2 linked regions of the Canis lupus familiaris genome follow. The protein of the gene in region 1 interacts with the protein of each later gene in a pairwise test. Links are inferred from orthologs where the notes say so. Each region holds a gene or a part of one and is shown in the gene's direction. Other genes may lie near its edges.

Region 1 (4,197 bases):
TTTCTTTTTTCCCCTTAATTAGACATAACTCTGGAAACACCATACTAGACATTGGACAAAGAATGCCTATAAAGACAGAATTCTTGTATTTTTGGAATTTATAAACAAGCTGGACAATAGATTTGGATAATTTTAGGCTACATGTGAAGGTGCATATATACATTTTACACATATATTATTACTTTTAAAAGTTTTTAAGTAATTTATACATTGACCTAAATATATTTATTGGTAACATGCAATGAATCAGAACCTAGTGAAAGGAAAAAAAGAAGAAGCTAGTGTAAGTTTTTGAACTATTTCAATGAACAAGACAAACAAAATTCTGAACTCATGGAGCTTACAAACGTGAACAGGAGGAGTCTAATTATAAAGATGAGTGATATTCAAATAGTGTGAAGTGCTTTTGATGAGGGAACAGAGGACTAGCTGAGGACAAAGCATATTGACAAGTCATTGAAACAAGCAGAGGGACATTCTTCTACAGACTCAACTGCCTTGATGTTCATACTTTGCTAAGGGCAGAAGGCAATCTTAGCCTGACCCCTAGGCCCCTGTGAGTCTACTTTTTAACATATAAAAATTCCTTTAGAAATTTCCTTTATCTCTGAAACCCCCTCTTCCCCCTCCCCAAGATATGTGCTGGCAATCATCCCCCAAGCACAAGGCCCACTGATATACATCTGAAGGGTCTCATGACTCAAGTTTTATTAGACAGTAGTAAGTGCCCTTTTCCCATCAATAGCTAGCCCCCTCAAGGTCCTGCAAACCTGGCTTCCAAAATCCCTTAGAGAGTATGCTATCCTCAAACCCCTCCCAACTCCCAGGTATATAATGAGCCACCCCTCACAGGCCCGGGGCAGCAGCTCTTCCTGTCCATGGGTCCAATCCTTGTGCTTTAATAAAATCATCTTGCACCAAAGATGTCTCAAGAATTCTTCTTGGTCGTTGGCTCTGGACCTCACCTATATTCCAAAACTTTATCACTTTGAAGATAAAAACAAAAAATAAAAAAAACAAAAAAACAAAAAAACAAAAAAACCTATTATGATGTAATTCAGAATAATTTAAAGCACCCTAGTTGTATTCTACTGTGGAGGCCGAGAAAATTAAGGCCATTCCACCTTAAGTTCAGTGTTAGCACAAGTACAGCCATCCCAGGCCCCTGTGAATAGGAGCTGAACTTTACCTAACTTCAGTTAAGCCCCATATTAGAATGAGAACAGGGCTCAATGCCCTTGAAAGCCCCATATCAGCATGTAAACAGAACTTGAGAAATTCCTCCACCCCTTCTGGAGGTCCCCTAGACCAGCCCATAAAACTAAGCTGGAACCTATCTCGGGGTCCAAGTCCCTGCTCTGCTGTGTCGGGTATACTTGGACCCAAGCTCGAACTTGTAAATAAACCCTCGTGTGTTTGCATCGGTGTCGGTTCCTTGGTGGTTTTTCAGGTACGTAATCTTGGGCACAACACTACTTCTGCCTGGGTAGAAGTAGCTGGACTAGAATCAACCCGGAAAGACTGCCCAGAGAGAATGATGTTTGAACAGAGAACTGATTATCCAGAAAAGTCTCTCATTCAGAGTTCTGAAAGAAAAGCATGTAGTCAAAGTGTAGACAGAAGCAAATTGGTGTATTTGCGTGATAAAAGAGAAGGCCAGTGTTTAAGGACCTGAACAGAGACAGGGAGATGGTTAGGAAATAAAACTAGAAAGATAGTCTGGCATCTGATTATTTAGATCCTCACAGGGCCGGAAAATATAGCCAAGCAGGTGATGTGGGGAGTAGTGAACTATCTGCAGAAAATTAAAAATATAACAAAATTTATTAAGAGTCAGTCTACTTTTTATTATCACCCATAATCCTTAACAATGCCAATGATAAAATATTCCCGGAAAATATCTTTTGTGATTTTTTTTGTTTAGTTTTAAATTTTTATGGTTATTATTTAGTTTTAGAACTCTGTTTATCCATTTCTCTATACAATAAATTCTTGTTATTCATGGTAGTTACAGTCTGTGAAGTGTCAGAGAACACCAAATAATTATTGCTTCTGTGGGAACTACAGGGTTAGGTTTCTGTAATGTCTGATGACAACAATTTCTGTCAACAGATTATTACATAACCTTGTTTTATATACGTTTCTGTTTCAATGCCCATTAGCAAATATATGTTGATTCATTAACATTGATCTCAGCCAACAGCACTATAACTCATGCCTGAATAAAGCTTACCTAATACACATATTTTCTTTGTAAGGCACATCAGTCTTCTTGAGCTTAGGAACACCAGACTGTACTTCAGCACTATGTTTGAGGGCATTTTAGGCAGTGAAGTAACCAACAAAAAGTCAAAGCACACACACACACAAACAAAAAGCACTACAAAGACAGTGAAAAGGACATTTCTTCTTCAGTTAGGAGAGCTGGAACAAGAGGGCAGTGTCACTTTGTTCAAACTCCTCTGAAATCAGGCATGTTAGGTTGTAGGGGCCAGAGTAAGTTACTCTCGGATTGACCACTCTGGCATAGAGATTATTCCCAATTAAAAGTCATCAAAGCCCAGCAGACTCAGGAAAAACTCTGCCTCTCCCACAGCTGTTTAAATTTACATTGGAAAGGAGAGCCTGCCACAGGCAGGGGAGTATTAATAGAGACCAACGCTCCCTTTACTAAAGGAATTTATCTACTTAATAAGGCAACCTTGTTTTCCCAAACATCTCCTTTCCCCTTCCTGCTAAAGCCCTTCCTTCCCTTGGTGTCCTAGGACCTGTCTCCCTCACCATCCCACATCAGCTTCTTGTTGTCTCCTTTAGAATCTCCTGTCCCCTCTGTACACCTATTACATTTGATTTCCTCCTGTTAGTTCATCTCCTGTCAGTTTGATTCTAAGTCCAGCTAGAAGAACCTTAGGCAGGAAGAAGATCTTCCTTTCTGACAGTGGGTCTCCAACTTTTCACCGTTCTGCGCATGCCTGTGAATGATCATGAAAGAGCCCTGATTGATTTGGGATTATGATTAAATTTTAGCACTTAAGCAAATTTGCAATCCTGGAATCCATGAATAATGAGGATGGAGTTATCTCTGTGTATATCAATATATCTATATGTTCTTCAAATTATCAGGTTTATGTCTTTTTTCCTTTTGTAAGTACTGTATTCTACATGGAAGTTCATTCACAGAACTCCTAGTTGTTGTGGAACAATTTGGAATGGTTTGGAATTACTGAAATTCACTCAGTACCACTTGGTTTGCATTGCTTGCATTATAGAATGAGTAATTTCTGTGTTTAAAGTGTAGATTTGAAATCAATATCGATAGCATTGCACAGTGATTATCAAATCAAAAAGACAAAATTTGAGCTACTTTCTCTTCATTCTATGTGACAGTTTGCAATTTTTATTTGTCCTTATACAATATTTCAACTGCAGAGAAATCTGAAAATTACTAAAATTGATCCTGAGAAAATAAGGACATGGACAATATTGTAATTTCTGGAATCACTGTGAAATAGGATTTTTGTAAATCTTTGCCACATATATACTATGTATAAGTCTTTTTCTCTTTACATATCTGTGGCTTCGGTTAAAGAATTTTAAAAATTAAGTGAAGAAAAAATTATCTTAAATCAATTTTGAGCAAAGATGAATTGGTGTGTCTGGATACATAGTCAATACTTAACACAAACTTGTAAAAAAGATTAATTTTGACAATATCATTAACAAATTTGGAAAAGGTTAAGGAGCTCAAACAGAAATTGTAATATTATTTATTACTGTGACATACCTATATATAGGTATAAATTCCCCTCCCTTTCAAAAAAGGCATTAACATAATTGATAAGATTTTATCCATTGATTTAAGAGTGGTTTGTACAATATTTATTTTTACTTTACTATACATATTTATACACACATTTTAATTTCTTTTGACATTATTTTATATACAACTTTTTAAAAGAAGATTAGATTTAATTTAATTTATTTGAGAAAGAGAAAGAGCATGCACACAAACTGGAGGAGGGGTAGAGGCAGAGAATCCCAAGCAGACTCCATGCAAAGGTGGAGCCTCACACTGGGCTTTATTACATGACCATGAGATCATGATCTGAGTGGAAACTAAGTCATCTAACGACTGAGCCACTCAGGCACCTCTATTTTATATCCAACTATCAACAAAAAATATTCACTATGTACATT
Region 2 (3,651 bases), on another chromosome or scaffold:
AGTAGGTGGTGGAGTCAGATTTCCAGCCAGGTCTCCCTTTGAGCTTTTCCTTTATATGAGGATGATGTTGAGTTCACTTTGGATCTAGAATAGTCTTTACCTCATTGAGAGTGCATTTAGGTTTTGAGCCTCTCTGGGTGGTTTTTCTGATTTACTGGTGGAGGGCTGTTCAGTCACAAAACTCTACACTTCTCTTGAGAGTTTGGAGGAATGGCCCTCCCAAACTGCTCGGTGATATTTTCTAAAACAAAATTTGTTGTAAGGAATGGAAATTATGAAGAAAATCCTCCACTGTCTTTGTTGTGAAGTTGGTCTGGTGGCTACTGTTATCAATTTTTATTAAAATTAAAGCACCTTAATGTGATCAGCAAACTCATTGAGCCAATAAGAAATATTTTCAAGAGCTATCCAAATTACCAGGGCCACATCCCCTTTTCTGTGGCTCCACCCTCTTTGACCGTTGGCCTGAGAAAACCTGTCTCCTGTACAGATGTGAGTTTCTCCCCCCAAACCAACAAGGCTTAATGAAACCTAGGAAATAGGAAGTCGTGGGAGAGAAGAAAGGACAAATCTACAAGGTATGGCTAGTGCATAAGGGAGAGGATAGAAATGAGGTGAGGTATAAAGGAATGGAAGAAGCTAATTTGTGGGATAGAGAGAAAGCTTTTTTCAAAATTTTTGGTGTTATCCCTGGATTTAATTAACAGCATTTAAAAAAATAAATAAAATTAAGAGCATTAATTTTGTGCTGCACATTTGTACACAAATTGAAAATTTTATGATTGAATTTAAGTTCTATAGGAGATTGTCAATTGTGCTAATTAGGACAATTGTTAACTTCTTTAGATATTTTTTTATAAAGTTTCTAAGCCATTGGTTTATTTCATCTGGGGAGGATACAACTAACTAGCTGAAGTAAACTGTGAGAAAAATAGGTATATATTATTTTAAACATATGTTTAAAATATTAAAGATAAGTAATAATAAAGTAACCATTTATTTTTTGAAAAGCACTCTCAAAGTTTTCAGTGATATAAACTAAGCTTTAACTAGAGAGAAAATTGGCTGAAAGGCACATTTCTAAGATCCTCGTTGTAGAGTTCCAGCTTCTTCTAAATTGGTTGATTGCGTGAGCCACTTCAGGAAGAGAAACTATATGTATTTTTAGACTTCTGTTGCTCCTTATTTATTTTCTTCGGAATACTCTTGGATTTGCTTTGAGGCGAGACAGAACTCTTATCAGAATTCACCACATTCGCATCTGTGTGCACATGACAGAGTTTGGTTCTGCTGTGGTTAACTTAAGCTATCTGACTTGTCCAACAGGTTCCTGGGTGGAGCTACCCATGAACAGCAGCAATGGCAATGATAATGGCAATGGGAAAAATGGGGGGCTAGAACATGTACCTTCCTCATCCTCTATCCACAATGGAGACATGGAGAAGATTCTTTTGGATGCACAGCATGAATCAGGACAGAGTAGTTCAAGAGCCAGTTCTCACTGTGACAGGTAAGTGAGATCCATACAGATGGGTTATAAGGTTAATTCTCACCAAAAAAAATAAATCTGGTTTCATTCTCATTTGACAAAATAGGACTCCTGGGACTCCCGGGTGGCTCAGTGGTTGAGTGTCTGCCTTCCGCCCAGGGCGTGATCCTGGAGACCCAGGATCGAGTCCCACGTCGGGCTCCCTGCATGGAGCCTACTTCTCCCTCTGCCTGTGTCTCTGCCTCTCTCTCTCTGTGTCTCTTATGAATAAATAAATAAAATCTTTTTTTAAAAAAAGGACTCTTGATTTACTGCAGCATGTATATTTAAATCAGATAGCTAATTGGCAAATATTTGAGTGCCTGGTGTTTTTCCCTAGATTAAATCAATTTCCTTATTCAGATTGTATCATTTTTTGATGTTTATCAGTTTAAAAGTCAATGGCATAAATGTTTACTTGTAGAATTAACAAACTTTCTCCAATTTTCCTTTGTGACCCTGTTTCACAGATGACATTCTGTCAGTTATCTCTTATGTTTCTGTCCCCCCTTCCAGACGATGAGGCTCCAAAAGGCATGTTGCATCTCTTGTGTACCCTTGACAGTCATGGTACTGGTGTGTAGCAGACCCTCAGTAACATGTTTGAGTCGTAGGAACTGGTGGTTGATTCAAGTTACAGCAGTATTTGTATGGTGTATGCAGACCACACAAGGTCTGTAAAGATAGCTAATTTGGAAGACCATCCTGTTTCTTCAGCGGAACCTTATTTTCAGACCTCATTTTTCTACTTTTGACTTGGGGAAAGTAATTCCATTGATGAAGGGCTGCTTTTGGTGAAAGAGTAAGGATACAGTGATATGTATGAGTGGAATAAAACCGAATTGCTCATTTGTTTTTCAGTGTAAGCTTTGTTTTTTTCTTGAGGGATAGGTGTTAAATACATGGTGGTATACCTGACACCACTTAGTCTGATGACAGCCATACTGTTAGCACTATGGGATAAAGGATGATCTGGTTAATTAAGAGTTAACTGACATTAGTCATGTAGAAAATGCAGATGCATAAGGAAAAAGACTAAGGAAACACTTAAAAATGTATACTAAAAATAAAAGTGATTATCCCTAAGAGATGGAATTATGGATATTTTTCTTCTGAATATTTTTGTACTTTGTAAAAATTGCATATATAGCATATTTTATTTGTCAGAATAAATTTAAAAAGAGAAACAGAAGTTCGGTCATGTCTGAAGTTCCTGGATATCTTATAATCCAGTGATGTTACCAAGGAAGCAGAGGATTGGTTTGCTGGCTCTAGCACACTGTGCACCCCCGCCACCCCATCTCATCCCTGCCTTTGTCCCTGTGCTTCTTAGTAGCCTGGGATGGCTCTTGTTCTAAGCAGAAGCAGAGCAGATGGCTCTTTGCTGAACAGCTTGCCATTGATTCCAGTTGCAACAGCATTCGTCTGTCTTTCAGAATGAAGTTTATATTATATTACATTTATATTTTGGGACTTGTAATAGGTTTCTGAAGTTTTCTGCTTGTTCTAGGCCTCTTTATGAGGCTCTTACTATGCATTCAAGTACAAGACCCTTGAGCATTGGTATCAGTGTGTCTCTTAACCTGTTGTTCACTTGCTGTTGTCATTGAGCAGAGAAAAAGTCACCTGCTTGCTTTTCTGGTCGTCTCATTTCATTCCTGGTTAGTAGTTATACTTGTGATCAAATACGAATTTACCTTCCCGTGACCACATTTAAGTTAGGTTTCTAAACACCTGAAGCGAGGCGTGGCATGTGCTTTTGAACATTTTCCTGTCCCTCACTTTATGTATGTTTAGGATCTGGGTTCCTGGTCATTTTTCAGAGAGGGCCTGTGACTCCAACTCAGTAATACTCTCCTATGCTAACACATCTTAACATTTTAAAATGTCTTCAAAATTCATATCATTTGGATGGGCTTGCATCTCCATATCTGAAGTCGCTGAGAAATGTTTTTTGTAGGTGGAAACATTTTTAGGATTGTTGGATATTCATCCCAAGGCTAGTTTATATATACAGTGACCCTTGAATGACATGGGTCTGACCTGCACAGCCATGTGGATTGTTTTCCATAAAGCACAGTATTTTATGGTAAATGTCGTTTCTTTCCCTTAAGGGTTTTTTT

The links.
Region 2: the proteins of CLEC7A (region 1) and BNIP3L interact in binary tests that used the Homo sapiens proteins (3 or more experiments, as listed by UniProt). The two-hybrid records come from large-scale screens. The link is inferred for Canis lupus familiaris from reciprocal best matches to the Homo sapiens genes CLEC7A and BNIP3L.

What each region holds. Positions count from the first base shown.
Region 1 is NC_049248.1:10,285,425-10,289,621, reverse strand, and holds the start of CLEC7A (C-type lectin domain family 7 member A), read left to right. Parts: upstream 1-1,358; 5' UTR 1,359-1,450; intron 1,451-4,197.
Region 2 is NC_049246.1:31,318,550-31,322,200, reverse strand, and holds part of BNIP3L (BCL2/adenovirus E1B 19 kDa protein-interacting protein 3-like), read left to right. Parts: intron 1-431; exon of another isoform or gene 432-578; intron 579-1,326; coding exon 1,327-1,510; intron 1,511-3,651.